Callithrix jacchus: one gene and its partners. Each later gene encodes a partner of the first gene's protein in a complex. Links are inferred from orthologs where the notes say so. Each region holds a gene or a part of one and is shown in the gene's direction. Other genes may lie near its edges.

Region 1 (4,483 bases):
TGCACTCCAGCCTGGGCAAGGGAGGGAAACCCTCTCTCAAAAGAGAGAGAGAGACAAGGAGAGAGGAAGAGAGAGAGCATTTCAAAGCAGGGGGAACCACAAGTACAAAGGCATGAAGTAAGAAAATAGCATGGGGTGTTTGGGAACGGCAAAAATAGTTCAGAACAGAGGCCGTGTGTGTGTGTGGTGCCTGTGTGTGTGTGTATTTGTGTGTGAGTGTGGGTATGTGGGGGTGTGTGTGGAGGGGATGCCAGTGCCTGTGTGTGTGTCTGGGGATGTGAGTGTGTGTGTGTATGGATGTGGGTGTGTGGGGGTGACTGTAGGTGTTTGTGTTAGTGTGGAGGTGCCTGTGTGTGTATGAATGTGTGTGTGGGAGGGGGAACCTAGGGTGAGATGTGTGTTGGATGAGTGCATTTGTGTGGGTGTTGGTTCCTGTGTATGTGTGTGTATGTGGGTGTGTGTGTTCATGGGTGTGGGTGCCTGTGTGTATAGGGTGTGTATGTGACTATGTGTGTGGATACCTGTGTGTGAGTGTGTGTGTGTGTGTGTACTTGTGGGTGGGATGAGTGTATGTGTTTATGTGAGTATGTGTGTGTGTGGTGCCTGTGTATTGGGGGAATGAGTCTGTGTGTGAATGTGTGTGTGTGGGGGTGTTTGTGTGTATGTGAGTGTGTGTGTGTGTGTGCCTGCGTGTGTGAGTGTAAATGTGTCTGTGTGGGGGGTGGGGTAGAGGTGCCTGTGTGTGTGTGAGAGAGAGAGTGTGTGTGTGCCTGCCTCTGTGTGTGTGAGTGTGGATGCCTCTGTGTGGGGGGTGGGGTAGTGGGTGCCTGTGTGTGTGTAGGGTGTGTGTGTATATAAGGTGTGTGTGTGTGTGTGTGTGTGTGTGAGAGTGTTTGTGTAGCGGAATGGACTTTGGAGGTAGATTTGATCTTGATATGCGAGGTCTGGAATGCACGAAACATTAAACTTTATTCGAGGACAGAGCTTTCCAAGTGCTCTAAGGAGCCGCGCTAGAGAAGGAGGAGTTGTGGGGACTCCAGGAGCTTCAAAGCAAGGCCCTCACTCTGCTTCAGGCCCACTTTTTATCACCTTATCTATGGAGTTCTGCTTGATTTCATCAGACAAAAAAGTTCCACTGCTAAAACAGGCAAATAAACAAAAAGAGTTATGGCCCACAGAGCCACTGGGAGGTTTTGTGCTGGGGAGGAGCAGGCCCATGTTTGAAGAAACACTGTGACTTGACTCTGGGGTTGTGTGGGGAGCGCGGGGCCTGATGGCAGACCTTGGGAGTGGAAGTCTCTTTCTCAGCCTCTTCAGCTAGACAGGGGAATTATAAAAGGAGGTGGGTGGGGCATGCACATCTCTCCAGTAAGGGAGAGTCTGATGGAGTGAGGTCTCCCCCAGGCTTGGGGAAGTGTGTGTCATCTTCAGAAGGTAGTCCTCCCTACAGACACTGGTACCAGCAGAGGGAAAGGGAGGGGGAAGAGGCAGGAAGTGGGTAACTAGACTAACAAAGGTGCCTGTGGCAGTTTGCCCATCCCAGGTGGGAGGGTGGGGCTAGGGCTCAGGGGCCTGTGTGAATTTACTTGTACCCTGAGGGCTCAGAGGGAGCACCGGTTTGGAGCTGGGACCCCCTGTTTTACCTTTTCTGTGGCTGGTGAATGGGGATCCCAGGATCTCACGATCTCAGGTACTTTTGGAAGTTTCCAGGGCAAGGCCCCATGATGTCTGATGCTGGGGGAGCAGATCTTGGGGGAGCCCCTTCAGCCCCCTTCTCCATTCCCTCAGGGACCATGGGCTGTGGCTGCAGCTCACACCCGGAAGATGACTGGATGGAGAACATCGATGTGTGTGAGAACTGCCATTATCCCATAGTCCCACTGGATGGCAAGGCCACGGTAAGAGGCAAGACAGGGGCCTTAGTGAGGGAGTTGGGTAGACCATGCAACCCAGGAGGAAGAAATGACCAGCGATACAGGCCCTTGAAAGAATAGAGCGGCCCTCTCCCCTGGAATACAGGAAAGGAAAAGAGGCCCAGAGAGGGAAAGGGACTCTCCTAAGATCACACAGCAAGCAGTTGATCAATTCAGGGATAAGACCCAACCAGGCGGAAAGGCTGAGAGCAGAGGGGAAGGGGGCCAGGGTCTGACCCAGTCTTCTGCTCTCTGACTCCACTCTTCATCCCCCACCCCACAGCTGCTCTTCCGAAACGGCTCTGAGGTTCGGGACCCACTGGTCACCTACGAGGGCTCCAATCCGCCGGCCTCCCCACTGCAAGGTGACCCCAGGCAGCAGGGCTTGAAAAACAAGATCCCTCGCTGTCGGCTTCCACCTCCTCCCCACCTACTCTCTCCCTTGTCCTGCCTTCCTTGTCGCCTGCCCCATAACTCCAGGCTTCCTGCCCATCTCAGGCCGGTTCTCCCTGATGCCGCTTGTCTTTACAGACAACCTGGTTATTGCCCTGCACAGCTACAAGCCCTCTCACGACGGAGACCTGGGCTTTGAGAAAGGGGAACAGCTCCGAATCCTGGAGCAGTGAGTCCCTGACCACCTTGCTCTGGGGAGTCCGTGAGGGAGCGGGGATCTCCGGTACCGCAGCCCTCCTGCGGCCCTTGACTGGCTAGGGTGGCCGCCCTTGGGACAAAATTCGAGGCTCAGGAGTGCGGAGCCAGGGTTCGGGAGGCTGGCTTCAGGGTTGGGGGGTCTTTGAGGGATAGCCTCAGATCAACGGCTGAGTGGGCCGCACTGACCCGCCTCCGTGGCGCAGGAACGGCGAGTGGTGGAAGGCGCAGTCCCTGACCACGGGCCAGGAAGGCTTCGTCCCCTTCAATTTTGTGGCCAAAGCGAACAGCCTGGAGCCCGAACCGTGAGTGGGGTCCCGTCGTGGAGGGGGGATGGAAGCAGATCCAGGGATCCTGGAGCAGGGAGTGGGCCTGGGGTGGCGGTGAAGGCTTGAGGGCCACGGAGGAAGATTCGACAACAGCCGATGGCCTGTGTTGGCTTCCGCCCTGCACAGCTGGTTCTTCAAGAACCTGAGCCGCAAGGATGCGGAGCGGCAGCTCCTGGCGCCAGGGAACACTCACGGCTCCTTCCTCATCCGGGAGAGCGAGAGCACCGCGGGTGAGCGGGCGGCGGCCTCGACCCGGCGCGGGGGTGGGGGCCGCGGGGTGAGCCAAAGGGAGGCGAGGGGGTGAGCTCGAGGTGGGGGCGTGGGGTGAGCCGGAGTGGGGCGCGCGGGGTGAGCCTGAGGTGGGGGCCGTGGTGGCGGGCCAGACTCTGCGTTCTTTCGTTCCTTTATCCATCCATTCATTTATTCAGGATCATTTTCACTGTCGGTCCGGGACTTTGACCAGAACCAGGGAGAGGTGGTGAAACATTACAAGATCCGTAATCTGGACAACGGTGGCTTCTACATCTCCCCGCGAATCACTTTTCCCGGCTTGCATGAACTGGTCCGCCATTACACCAGTGAGCCTGGCGGGACCCCTTCCCAGTGCCCTATCAGCCCATCTTCCCTCAGTCCCCTTCGGGTGTCCCCCAACCATCTTTCAATGCGCTCCTCCATTCCCCGCAGTGGGTGAGGTGTGGAACCGTGGAACCCTACGGCCCCAAGGGTTTGGGTGACAGCCCCACACCTGCCTGCTAGTCTACTTTCCCTGGATAGGGGGCTTGGAGAAGTGGGGGAGGTGGTTTTTGCTAGTCCACTTCCCCTGGGTGGGGACTTGGAGAAGTGGGGGAGGTGGTTTTTGCTAGTCCACTTCCCCTGGATGTGGGCTTGGAGAAGTGGCGGAGGTGGTGTCAATACAAGACCACCTTCCCCACTCCCTTGTCCTCGCAGATGCTTCAGATGGGTTGTGCACACGGCTGAGCCGCCCCTGTCAGACCCAGAAGCCCCAGAAGCCCTGGTGGGAGGATGAGTGGGAGGTTCCCAGGGAGACGCTGAAGCTGGTGGAGCGGCTGGGGGCTGGACAGTTCGGGGAGGTGTGGATGGGTGAGTGTGGCCTCCAGGACTGCCTGGGAAGAGGGGAACGGGAGGGGCTGCAGAGGTGGTGAGAGACCCAGGACAGCTGCCTGGTGAGCCTCCCAGTCCTTCCCTCCCCTGACCCAGGGTACTACAACGAGCACACAAAGGTGGCGGTGAAGAGCCTGAAGCAGGGCAGCATGTCCCCGGATGCCTTCCTGGCAGAGGCTAACCTCATGAAGCAGCTGCAACACCAGCGGCTGGTTCGCCTCTACGCTGTGGTCACCCAGGAGCCCATCTACATCATCACTGAATACATGGAGAATGGTGGGTGCCGCCTGAGTTGCCGCGGGGGGACTCTGCTCTCCCCACCTTCTCTGCTGGAGGGTGGAAATACACCTTTACTCCTGGCGCAAAGCTCAAGCAGGAAGGGTTTCTTGAGCTTTCCTGGCCCCTAGACTCACCTCCAGACATGAGAAGAAGGTGTATCCTCTGATCCTGTCTGGGGACCAGCCTAAGGTG
Region 2 (4,584 bases), on another chromosome or scaffold:
CGCACTCTTCACTGCCAGGTACTTACAGTAAAAAAGAAGAAAAATAGTAATGGCAGTTTTACTTAATCATGCCCTTAATGAGGCCAGGCACGGTGGCTTATGCCTGTAATCCCAGCACTTTGGGAGGCAGAGGTGGGCAGATCAAGAAGTCAGGAGATCGAGACCATCCTGGCTAACACAGTGAAACACCATCTCCACTAAAAATACAAAAAATTAGTCGGGCGTGGTGCCACATACCTGGAGGCTGAGGCACGAGACTGACTTGAACCCAGGAGGCAGAGGTTGCAATGCGCAGAGATCACGCCACTGCACTCCAGCCTGGGCAGCAGAGCAAGACTCCATCTCAGGCAGAAAAAAAAATGGGCAGGCTCAGTGGCTCTCATTCAAGACCAGCCTGGCCAACTTGGTGAAACCCCATCTCTACTAAAAATACAAAAAAACAAAAAAAATTAGCTGGACATGGTGGTGGGCATTTGTAATCCCAGCTACTCTGGAGGCTGAGGCAGGAGAATTGCTTGAACCCGGGAAGTGGAGGTTGCAGTGAGCTGAGACTGGGCCATTGCACTCCAGCCTGGGCAACAAGAGCGAAACTCCACCTAAAAACAAACAAAAAAATACAAAAATTAGCTGGGTATGATGGTGCACTTGTAGTTCCCAGCTACTTGGGAGGCTAAAGCAGAAGAATCCCTTGAACCCGGGAGGCAGAGGTTGCAGTGAGCTGAGATCTCGTCACTTAACTCCAGCTTGGTGACAGAGCAAGACTCTGTCTCAAAAAAAAAAAAAAATGCCCTTAATGATGAAGTAGTAAATACTAATGTTATTAAATCTCAACCCTTGAGTACAGTAGCCATGAAATGAGAAGCAGCACACAGTACTACATGCTGCAGGTCTGGAGGGTGGCGGTATGCAGGTGGTATGTTTAGTTGGGGATATGTTGAGTTTGCTATGGCCGGTGAGCTTCCCAATGGAGATGTCCAATGCGCTGGTGGATACCCACATCTGGAGCCCACGAGAGATATGGGCTAAAGGAAAGCGTTTAAGGCCCGGCCAGAGACGCCCAGAGGAACAGAGTCTGGTTCACAGTCACTCCTGGTGTCTCAGGTATCCTCTGCTCAGCCCACACCCTCTCTTCCACACTGGGCCACCTACAAAGCCCCCACCGATACCCCTGGAGGCAGCCACTGAACACAGGCCCTCAGGGCCCCGGAGCGAGGAGCTATTTGTGGACTTGCCACGGCTGTTCCCGTATGCCCCCAGCTACCTCCCACTTCTGGTCAGATACGATAGTGTCACTGGTGGAATCTTTCTTGCAATCCTTTTCTTGCCACTTAACAGTGGCAGTGGCACTGTGGCTCCAGCCTGATTCTGCTGAACTTTTTCCCTTGACTTTGGCATTTTCACTTTGAGATGTTTTCTGAGAGCCGGGGGTGGGGACCCCAGCTCCAGGTGGTGACGTGGAGGGCCAGCCCAGGCCTAGGGTGTGGAGGAGCCTCCCCATTGGGCTTCCTGTCTCTCTTCATTTAAGCACGACTCTGCAGAAGAAACAAAGCACCCTCCCCATTGGGCTCCTGGCTGCAGAGCTCCAAGTCCTCACACAGAGACACCTTTTTTGAGAAGCAGAGGGCAAGAAAGATGCAAGGCCAGAGGTAAGATGGTCAGACTCGGCTTCTTTCCCTGGAGCTGGGAGGGAGGGGAACGTGGGGCAGATGCACAGGAACGTGCTCTGCCCAGTTGTCTGCCCACCTTCCCTTGCATTTCTTTTGGAACGGATCATGAGCAGCAATCTTCCACCAGAACTGCGAGCTTCAGAGGTCAGGGGCTGTGCCAGACTGCTCTCTGCAGCCCCGGTGTGCACAGCTCAGTGCCCAGAGCAGCGGGTGCTCCTCAGAGGAGTATTGACCGGAATGGCAATATCAGAGAGAGAGTGAGGGCTGGAGACTACCCCAGGCTGGGAAAGGTGTGGGAGGTAACTAGTCATGGGCGGTGGAGGAGAGAAGACTGGAAGAGGGGAAAAGAGGAGAAAAAGAGTGAATGAGGGGAGGGAAACATCAGAAAGAATAAATATAAGATGGGAGGAAACCCATAAAAACGAAATGATGAGGAAAAACGACAAAAGCAAGAAAAAGACAAAAAGAAGCAGAAGCTAGTCTAGAGAAAATTCCTGCAAAATCACTTTTCCTGATGGTGCGATCTCCAAACATTTACACGAAGTATCATATGAGCAGCATTTCATAAGTCACATGATCTATGTAATAGTCTCTTTTAACTACCTTTTGTGCTTATGTGTGTATTTAAAAATTTTTGTCTACTTTTTTGCTCTTTTAAGATTTTTGAACAATGTCTAAAGACACTTTTCTAGATAGCTTTAAAATAATTCATGAAATAGGAAAGCTAAAATTCTCAGAAGGTGTTCAAACTGAGCTTTTGCGTGTGAAATGCCGTAAATGTGACAGATGTGTATCTTTAGATGAATATGTCATTTAAGAAATGGATTCGAAGAGAATTGGCGGTGGGGGTCTCCCAAGGCCAGGAGAGTTGAGAAGGGCGTGGAGCCCCGCCTGGGCCTGGCCGGGTGTGAGCGAGAGGGCGGACTCTATCCCTCTTGACCGGAAGCCCTGTACAATCTCAGCCTCTTCACCTCAGAACTTTCCAGCTCCTTGAAGCCATGCTATCCCCAGTGTCCTCTGCTTTTCCCCTCATAAGCTTTTTCTGGGAGAGAGGGTTCCTGGGGCACAGTCTGATCCCTTAACATGGAAAGGCCCCATTCTCAATAATTAGAAGCTTTCGCTCTGAGTGGGATAGTGCTTCCTGAGTGCCCTGCTTTTATGGGGCACATTTTTAGTGGGCTAAGAGTAGGTCCTGATGGCGGAGGTCACTGCTACTTCACATTTTGACAGATAATTCCTGTGCTGTATCAGATGCTGTAGGCTGATACAAAATGGCTGCCGCCTTCAAAGTCAGATGAAAGAGCCCATGAGGACAGCGTTAGAGACATTTGAGAGATGATTTCCCTCTTCCCACCAAGGGTGCTAGGCAGAGCCTTTAGGGCCGCCCTAGGCCCTGGCCCTGGCCGTAATGGCGGGGTGGTGCTGAGGGGAATTGGCTAGATCAATTGTCTTGCACATTTTATTTATTTATTCTTACTATTTTTGAGACAGAGTGTCACTCTGTCGCCTGGGCTGGAGTGCAATGGCGTGATCTTGACTCACTGCAGCCTCTGCCTCCCAGGTTCAAGTGATTCTCCTGCCTCAGCCTTTCAAGTAGCTGGGATTACAGGTGTCTGTCATCATGCCCGGCTAATTTTTGTATTTTTAGTAGAGACAGGGTTACACTATATTAGCCAGGCTGGTCTCAAACTCCTGACCTCAAGTGATCTGCCCTTCTTGGCCTCCCAAAGTGCTGGGATTACAGATGTGAGCCACCACCGGGCCAGTCTTACACATTTTAGACACTCAGCAAATATTTGTTGAATCAAATAACTTTGATGGGCTGGGCGAGTTGGCCCACACCTGTAATCCCAGCCCTTTGGGAGGCCAAGGCATGAGGATGACTTGAGCCTAGGAGTTTGAGACCAGCCTGGGCAACATAATGAAACCCCTATCTCTACAAAAAATACAAAAGTTAGCTGGGCATGGTAGTGTGTGCCTGTGGTTCCAGCTACTTGAGAGGCTGAGGTGGGAAGATTGCTTGAGCCTGGGAGACGGAGGCTGCAATGAGCCCTGATTGTGCCACTGCATCGCGTGCTAGCGTAGGCGAGAGTGAGGCCCTGTCTCAAAATAACTTTGATGAAGGTGGGGAATCAGAGATAGACGGGCAGGGGTCTGGGTTTGCAAAGCTCTGAGGTTGAGCTCCGTTCTGTACCTTTGCGGGGATGAGGGGAGGAGGGGAGGAGGGTGGGCACAGTTCCCTCGATGTGGGTGTCTGAGGCGAAGAAGAGGATGGCGGAGGTTGCAGCCACCAACCACAAGAGTTCCTTAGAGGGGTCACAGTCCCCAGGAAGTTTCTAGGAAGCCAGTCAGCAGTAGAGAGGGTGAACATGGTGGGGCGCATCCCGTGGCTGCGCTTAAGTGGGTTGCTTGGGGGTTATGGGGAGAAGATAAAAGTGCCTGTAGGACCACAGACTTTCGCTGTGGCGGAGGTGGGCTCTCTTCCTCTCCCAAGTCTCGCTCCTCGTCCCATCCCTGGGGGGCCAGGGGTGAGGGCGGCGGGAACCTCAAGGCTCTGCGAGAGTGCATGGAGTGTGTTGCCATTTTGGTCTCGTCTCTATCTCGGTCTCTCTTTGCCTCACTTTGGGTCTCCGCTCTGTGCGTCTGTCTTGCTTCTCAGCATGTCTTCTTTTCCTCTTTTTTGTAGTACCCTGCGCTTTGCATGTGGTTGTGGATTGTGTGTGTGTAGCTGTTGCTTTAACAAGCTGCTCCAGGTCTCCCTCCCACATCTATTCCTCCCCTCCTCCCTTGAGGCCTCTGTGCATTCTGGGGAAATCTGTCCATTTCCCTTTGTCCACAGTGTCCCTCCCACCCTGCAGCCAGCTCCCTCACATCCACCCTGGGCTGCAGGCGTGCTCGGCAGGTTCCCCGCAGATCA
Region 3 (4,595 bases), on another chromosome or scaffold:
GGGGATAGAAGGTTTCAGGACAGCAATAGACAAAAAAGAAGGATGAGCCTATAGTCCCAGCTACTCAGGAGACTGAGGCGGGAGGATCACTGGAGCTCAGGAGTCCCAAGCTCAGCCTGAGCAAAATAATGAGACTCTAACCTTTTTTTTTTCTTTCTTTTTTTAAGGGAAACAAAAGGGAAGGGGACCACACACATGTACCAGGGATAGAAGAGAGAAAAACACCTCCACCAAACATTCACCCATGTCATCCATGCCTCTCTGCAGAGCACCCAGAGCTGGGGGCAAAAGAAATGAGGTCCAAGTGAGACAGCACAGGAGCTGGCTCCAGGGCTTAAACAGACCAGTATCCCTGGTCTGTTAGGGACTGTAAGTGCAAGGGTGTGAAAGCACAGAGGGCAGTGGTTGGATGACTTCAAGCCTGTAAAGCTGCAGCTGCAGGTGTATGGGAAGGGCAGGGCAGGGGGCTGTGCAGAGGCTGGGAGGAGCCAGCACCCTAGGCCTGGTCAACGAACCTGGGGTTGAGTTTCCATCCAGCAATGCAGACCATGGGAGGCTGCAGGAGTGACGTTGTCAGATCCCCTTTATGAGAATAATAATTTTTTTGGGGGGGATGGGGTTTTGCTCTTGTTGCCTAGGCTGGGATGCAGTGGCACAATCTTGGCTCACCTGCAACCTCCGCCTCCCGAGTTCAAGAGATCCTCCTGCCTCAGCCTCCCACGTAGCTGGGATTATAGGCACCTGCCATCATGCCCGGCTAATTTTGTATTTTTAGTAGAGGCGGGGTTTCTCCATGCTGGTTAGGCTGGTCTCGAACTCCCGACCTCAGGTGATCCCTCCGCCTCGGCCTCCCAAAGTGCTGGAATTACAGGGAGAATAATAATTTTTATAACAACGTGTCTGGAAGACAAGTCAGGAGAGAGACTGGTGTGGAGGCTCTTGCAACGGCCGCAAGAAGAGTTGAGGCTGTGTGGTGAGTTTAGCCGCTAGGCGAAAGCCCGGAAGGGTGAGGTCAGCAGCGCCACCCAAGGCTTCGGCTGCTGCCGCCCTCATGGAAATCTCCTGGGGGAAGGGAGAGGGCCCTTCCTCGGTGTTCTGCCCGAGTTCCCGAGAAGCGGGTAGGTTGCTAGCTCTTCTTCCTTTTCAGTCCTCAGTGCCCATTTTGCCGATAAAAAGCCCCAAAGTGACAGTTCAAGAGACGCCTTTAGTTAAGGCAAAGGAAGGGACACTCCCCTCCTTTCCTGCCTGCTCTCGCCCTCACTTGAAACCTTTGGTCTCTCTTCACCCACTCTGTCAATGTCACAAGGCAGCCATTTCCAAGGACTATTTCCAAGCCCTTTTCCTCGTTCCCAAACCCGCAGTTTTCAACTGTCCCCAGCTGCATCGCCAGGCTGCCTCGACGGCCCCACTCACGGCCCCCAGTCTCTTCAGAAGGCGACAACCGCGAAAAGGAGGGTGACTCTCCCCGGCGGGGGCTTCAGGTGACATCACATCCTTCAAATGCGAAATTAGTCTCCGGGCAGGTCGAAGGGCGAAACTCCCCCCACCCCCGCCGCCCCGCTGTGCGCCCCACCGACTCCCGCTCGCCTCTCCTCGCGCCCGAGCTTCGAGCCGACCCTCGCAGTGTCCTGGGGAGGGCGTCATGGCCTCGCCAGTGACCGCCTTGCTCCTGCCGCTGGCCATGCTGCTCCGTGAGTTTGCGACCCCCGGGAAGGCAGGGGGTGGGGCGGTCGGGGGGCGCGGGACTCAGCCTCGCTGTCTGCTGCCTCCAGATGCTGCCAGGCCCAGCCGGTTCCGGGTGTCGCCGCTGGATCGGACCTGGAACTTGGGCGACACGGTGGAGCTGAAGTGCGAGGTGCTGCTGTCCAACCCGGCCTCCGGCTGCTCGTGGCTCTTTCAGCCGCGCGGCGCTGCCGCCAGCCCCAACTTCCTCCTATACATCTCCCAAACCAAGTCCAAGGTGGCCGATGGGCTGGACACCCAGCGATACTCCGGCAAGAAGATGGGGGACAGCTTCATTCTCACCCTGAGCGACTTCCGAGAGGAGAACCAGGGCTACTATTTCTGCTCGGCCCTGAGAAACTCCATCATGTACTTCAGCAGCTTCGTGCCGGTCTTCCTGCCAGGTCCGGGCGCGGGGTGCGGCGCCTCTCCGCGTGGGGCTCGGGGCTCCCCTCACTTTGTTTTCCACACGGAGGCCCTGCTTTCAAGCCTCCTAGAGCACCTGGAACCGACTTGTATACTGTTCCCATTTCACAGACGGGCAAACTGAGGCTAACCTGCGGCTGACTGGGGAATGGAGATGGCTTTTTAGGTCCGGCTGATCTGGGCTCGAGTTCGGATGCTTGCGTGGTTCTGGGCAAACGACTTAAATTCTCTGCGCCTCTGTTTGCTCGTGGGTAAACCAGGGTTGCTGGTTCAGCCCAGGAGAGAGGCCGGGTGCCAGGAAGCGGGCTTCTGCGCTCTGGCCCCGGGCGCCGCGTGCTCAGGGCTGAGCCAGGGAGAAGCACCGGGGTCGGCGAGCATCGCCGGGTCTTCATCCCGTCTCCTCTGCCATCCCTTCTCCCAGGAAAACCCGCGGGGAGGCTCCCCCGTAGGGAAAGGCTCCCGGGGCCAGGCTGGGTAGGGGCCGGTCCATAACCCCAGCCTGGCCCCCCACCACGCTCTATTGCTCCTGCAGCGAAGCCCACCACGACGCCAGCGCCGCGACCACCCACACCGGAGCCCACCACAGCGTCGCAGCCCCTGTCCCTGCGTCCACAGGCTTGCCGGCCAGCGGCGGGGGTCGCAGGTGAGATGTGCGGAGTCCCGGCGCGGGGGCGGCACGGACCGCGGGGAAAGCCCATGCCAGGGGCAGCCCTGATACTGTAGGTAGAGCCGAGGCATGTCCAAGTGGTGGGAAACCGAGACCTGAGGCCAAGAGACGCGTCCGGGACGGTGGGCCGGGTCGGGGGATCCCGGGCCCGCTCCTAAATGTTGTTGTCTTTGGTGTCGTCAGGGGACACGAGGGGGCTGGACTTCGCCTGTGATATCTACATCTGGGTGCCCCTGGCCGGGACCTGCGGGATCCTTCTCCTGTCACTGGTCCTCACCGTTTACTGCAATCACAGTAAGTTCCGAGGAATCGTGGCGAGGATGAGTCCGCCCAGCTCCCGCCAGACCTTGAGGGCGGTGGGTTGAGATTTCTGGGACTCTCGAGCTGCCCCACAGGTACAGGCACTTCTTTCCTGGAGATAGGACGCGAGAGAGCCCTTCCTGCTCCTTCTCGCGCTCTTGGAGAGGTTTTGGGAAGATAAAGCCCTGTTCCCAGAGGGGCTGCAACGGGTGTGTTCCGTCAGCGAAGCCCGCAGCTAGCGCACAGGTCCGGACACAGGACAAACGCTCGCCAGGAGGGGGCCGCCGTGGCCCTGGGTCAAGTGCCCATAAGGGTTAGGTCAAAACCACGACCAGTTCACCCTTGGTTCCCTTCCCGTGAGCCGCCCACCCGCTTTGGGTCCCATGCAGGGGAGGTGCCGGATCAGGTCTACAGGCTCCTCGCGTTCACTCACGTCTATAGTTGCATTTTTTTCTTTAAATTGATGCTTGAGACGAAGGATGGATGAGAAACCCTTACCTGGGTCTCAAGAGTTATAATCCTCAAAGAAATAGGGGAAAGGAAGGAGAAATCGTAGGGGCAATTCGCTATCTGCCCCATCCAATTTCAGCCCATGATCATTCTGAAATAATTTTTTTTTTTTTTTTTGTAAAACCAAAAAACAAAACAAACAAAATACCCCGTCTTTGGGGACTACTGGTGGATGGGGGCACTCACTTTTTCCCTTCTTTCTCCTTTATCCAGGGAACCGAAGACGTGTTTGCAAATGTCCCCGGTGAGTCTCTTTTGAACTCTCAGCCTGCTCACCTTGGGCAGTCCTGGAGTGGGGTCCTGATTTCCGCAGCAGCAAATAGTGGGAACTTTTCCCAAAGGGAGGTCATGGCCGTGGAGTCCTGGGGCAGGGAGTCAGCTCGTTCCAAAGCAAAGAGAAGCTGAGGCTGGCATCTGGCCTGCATCCTTGAGAAAAAGGAGGCCCGGGTTAGGCTGGTGCTGAGAGCAGTGTGACTCCAGTAAATCTCCATCTTATTTGGCCTGGCACTTAAAAAAAAAAAAAGAATGGCTTTGGTTCCTAATTTCTCTGTATCATGTGGGGCCTTGGTTTTCTGCCAAGGACTGGAGTAGAAAAATGGGGAACCAGATGCAGGGACAATTCACTATCTGGCAGCTCAAGTGACTGCCCTATCCAGTTTCAGCCCACGATCATTCTGAAATCATTTAAAAATAAAAAACACATTTTCTGTTAAAAACCTCCTCTCTTCACTCGTTGGCTGAGGCATCCCTGTGGCAGCATCTAACAAGTGCCTGCTGTTGCCAGGCACTGTGATAGGGGTGATACTCCCCAGCTCTCTTAATCCTCACAGCAACCTTGTCCCATCTCACAGCTCATGGGCTCAAGGATTAGGAAACCTACCCAAAGTGGCAACGGCAGGATTAAACTCAGATTATCAATAATAATTACCATTTGATGAAAGTTACCATACACGTTACTTGCTTTCTAGAT

The links. The genes of interacting proteins can lie anywhere in the genome.
Region 2: the proteins of LCK (region 1) and CD4 are in contact, whole or in part, in an NMR structure (PDB 1Q68), measured with the Homo sapiens proteins. The link is inferred for Callithrix jacchus from reciprocal best matches to the Homo sapiens genes LCK and CD4. Residues at the interface, in NP_001036236.1 of Homo sapiens: Glu15, Ile17, Val19, Cys20, Asn22, Cys23, Tyr25, Pro26, Ile27, Val28; in NP_000607.1 of Homo sapiens: Ala429, Arg431, Ile435, Leu438, Leu439, Lys443, Thr444, Cys445, Gln446, Cys447.
Region 3: the proteins of LCK (region 1) and CD8A are in contact, whole or in part, in an NMR structure (PDB 1Q69), measured with the Homo sapiens proteins. The link is inferred for Callithrix jacchus from reciprocal best matches to the Homo sapiens genes LCK and CD8A. Residues at the interface, in NP_001036236.1 of Homo sapiens: Cys20, Asn22, Cys23, Tyr25, Pro26, Ile27, Val28; in NP_001139345.1 of Homo sapiens: Arg212, Arg213, Val214, Cys215, Lys216, Cys217.

Annotation. Positions count from the first base shown.
Region 1 is NC_133508.1:68,884,276-68,888,758, forward strand, and holds the start of LCK (tyrosine-protein kinase Lck), read left to right. Parts: upstream 1-1,584; 5' UTR 1,585-1,661; coding exon 1,662-1,898; intron 1,899-2,196; coding exon 2,197-2,278; intron 2,279-2,444; coding exon 2,445-2,535; intron 2,536-2,767; coding exon 2,768-2,866; intron 2,867-3,016; coding exon 3,017-3,120; intron 3,121-3,318; coding exon 3,319-3,468; intron 3,469-3,838; coding exon 3,839-3,991; intron 3,992-4,108; coding exon 4,109-4,288; intron 4,289-4,483. UniProt on the Homo sapiens protein: Non-receptor tyrosine-protein kinase that plays an essential role in the selection and maturation of developing T-cells in the thymus and in the function of mature T-cells. Plays a key role in T-cell antigen receptor (TCR)-linked signal transduction pathways.
Region 2 is NC_133510.1:21,059,753-21,064,336, forward strand, and holds the start of CD4 (T-cell surface glycoprotein CD4), read left to right. Parts: upstream 1-1,522; 5' UTR 1,523-1,632; coding exon 1,633-1,646; intron 1,647-4,584. UniProt on the Homo sapiens protein: Integral membrane glycoprotein that plays an essential role in the immune response and serves multiple functions in responses against both external and internal offenses.
Region 3 is NC_133515.1:26,203,875-26,208,469, forward strand, and holds the start of CD8A (T-cell surface glycoprotein CD8 alpha chain), read left to right. Parts: upstream 1-1,533; 5' UTR 1,534-1,642; coding exon 1,643-1,691; intron 1,692-1,772; coding exon 1,773-2,126; intron 2,127-2,680; coding exon 2,681-2,791; intron 2,792-2,998; coding exon 2,999-3,109; intron 3,110-3,838; coding exon 3,839-3,869; intron 3,870-4,595. UniProt on the Homo sapiens protein: Integral membrane glycoprotein that plays an essential role in the immune response and serves multiple functions in responses against both external and internal offenses. In T-cells, functions primarily as a coreceptor for MHC class I molecule:peptide complex.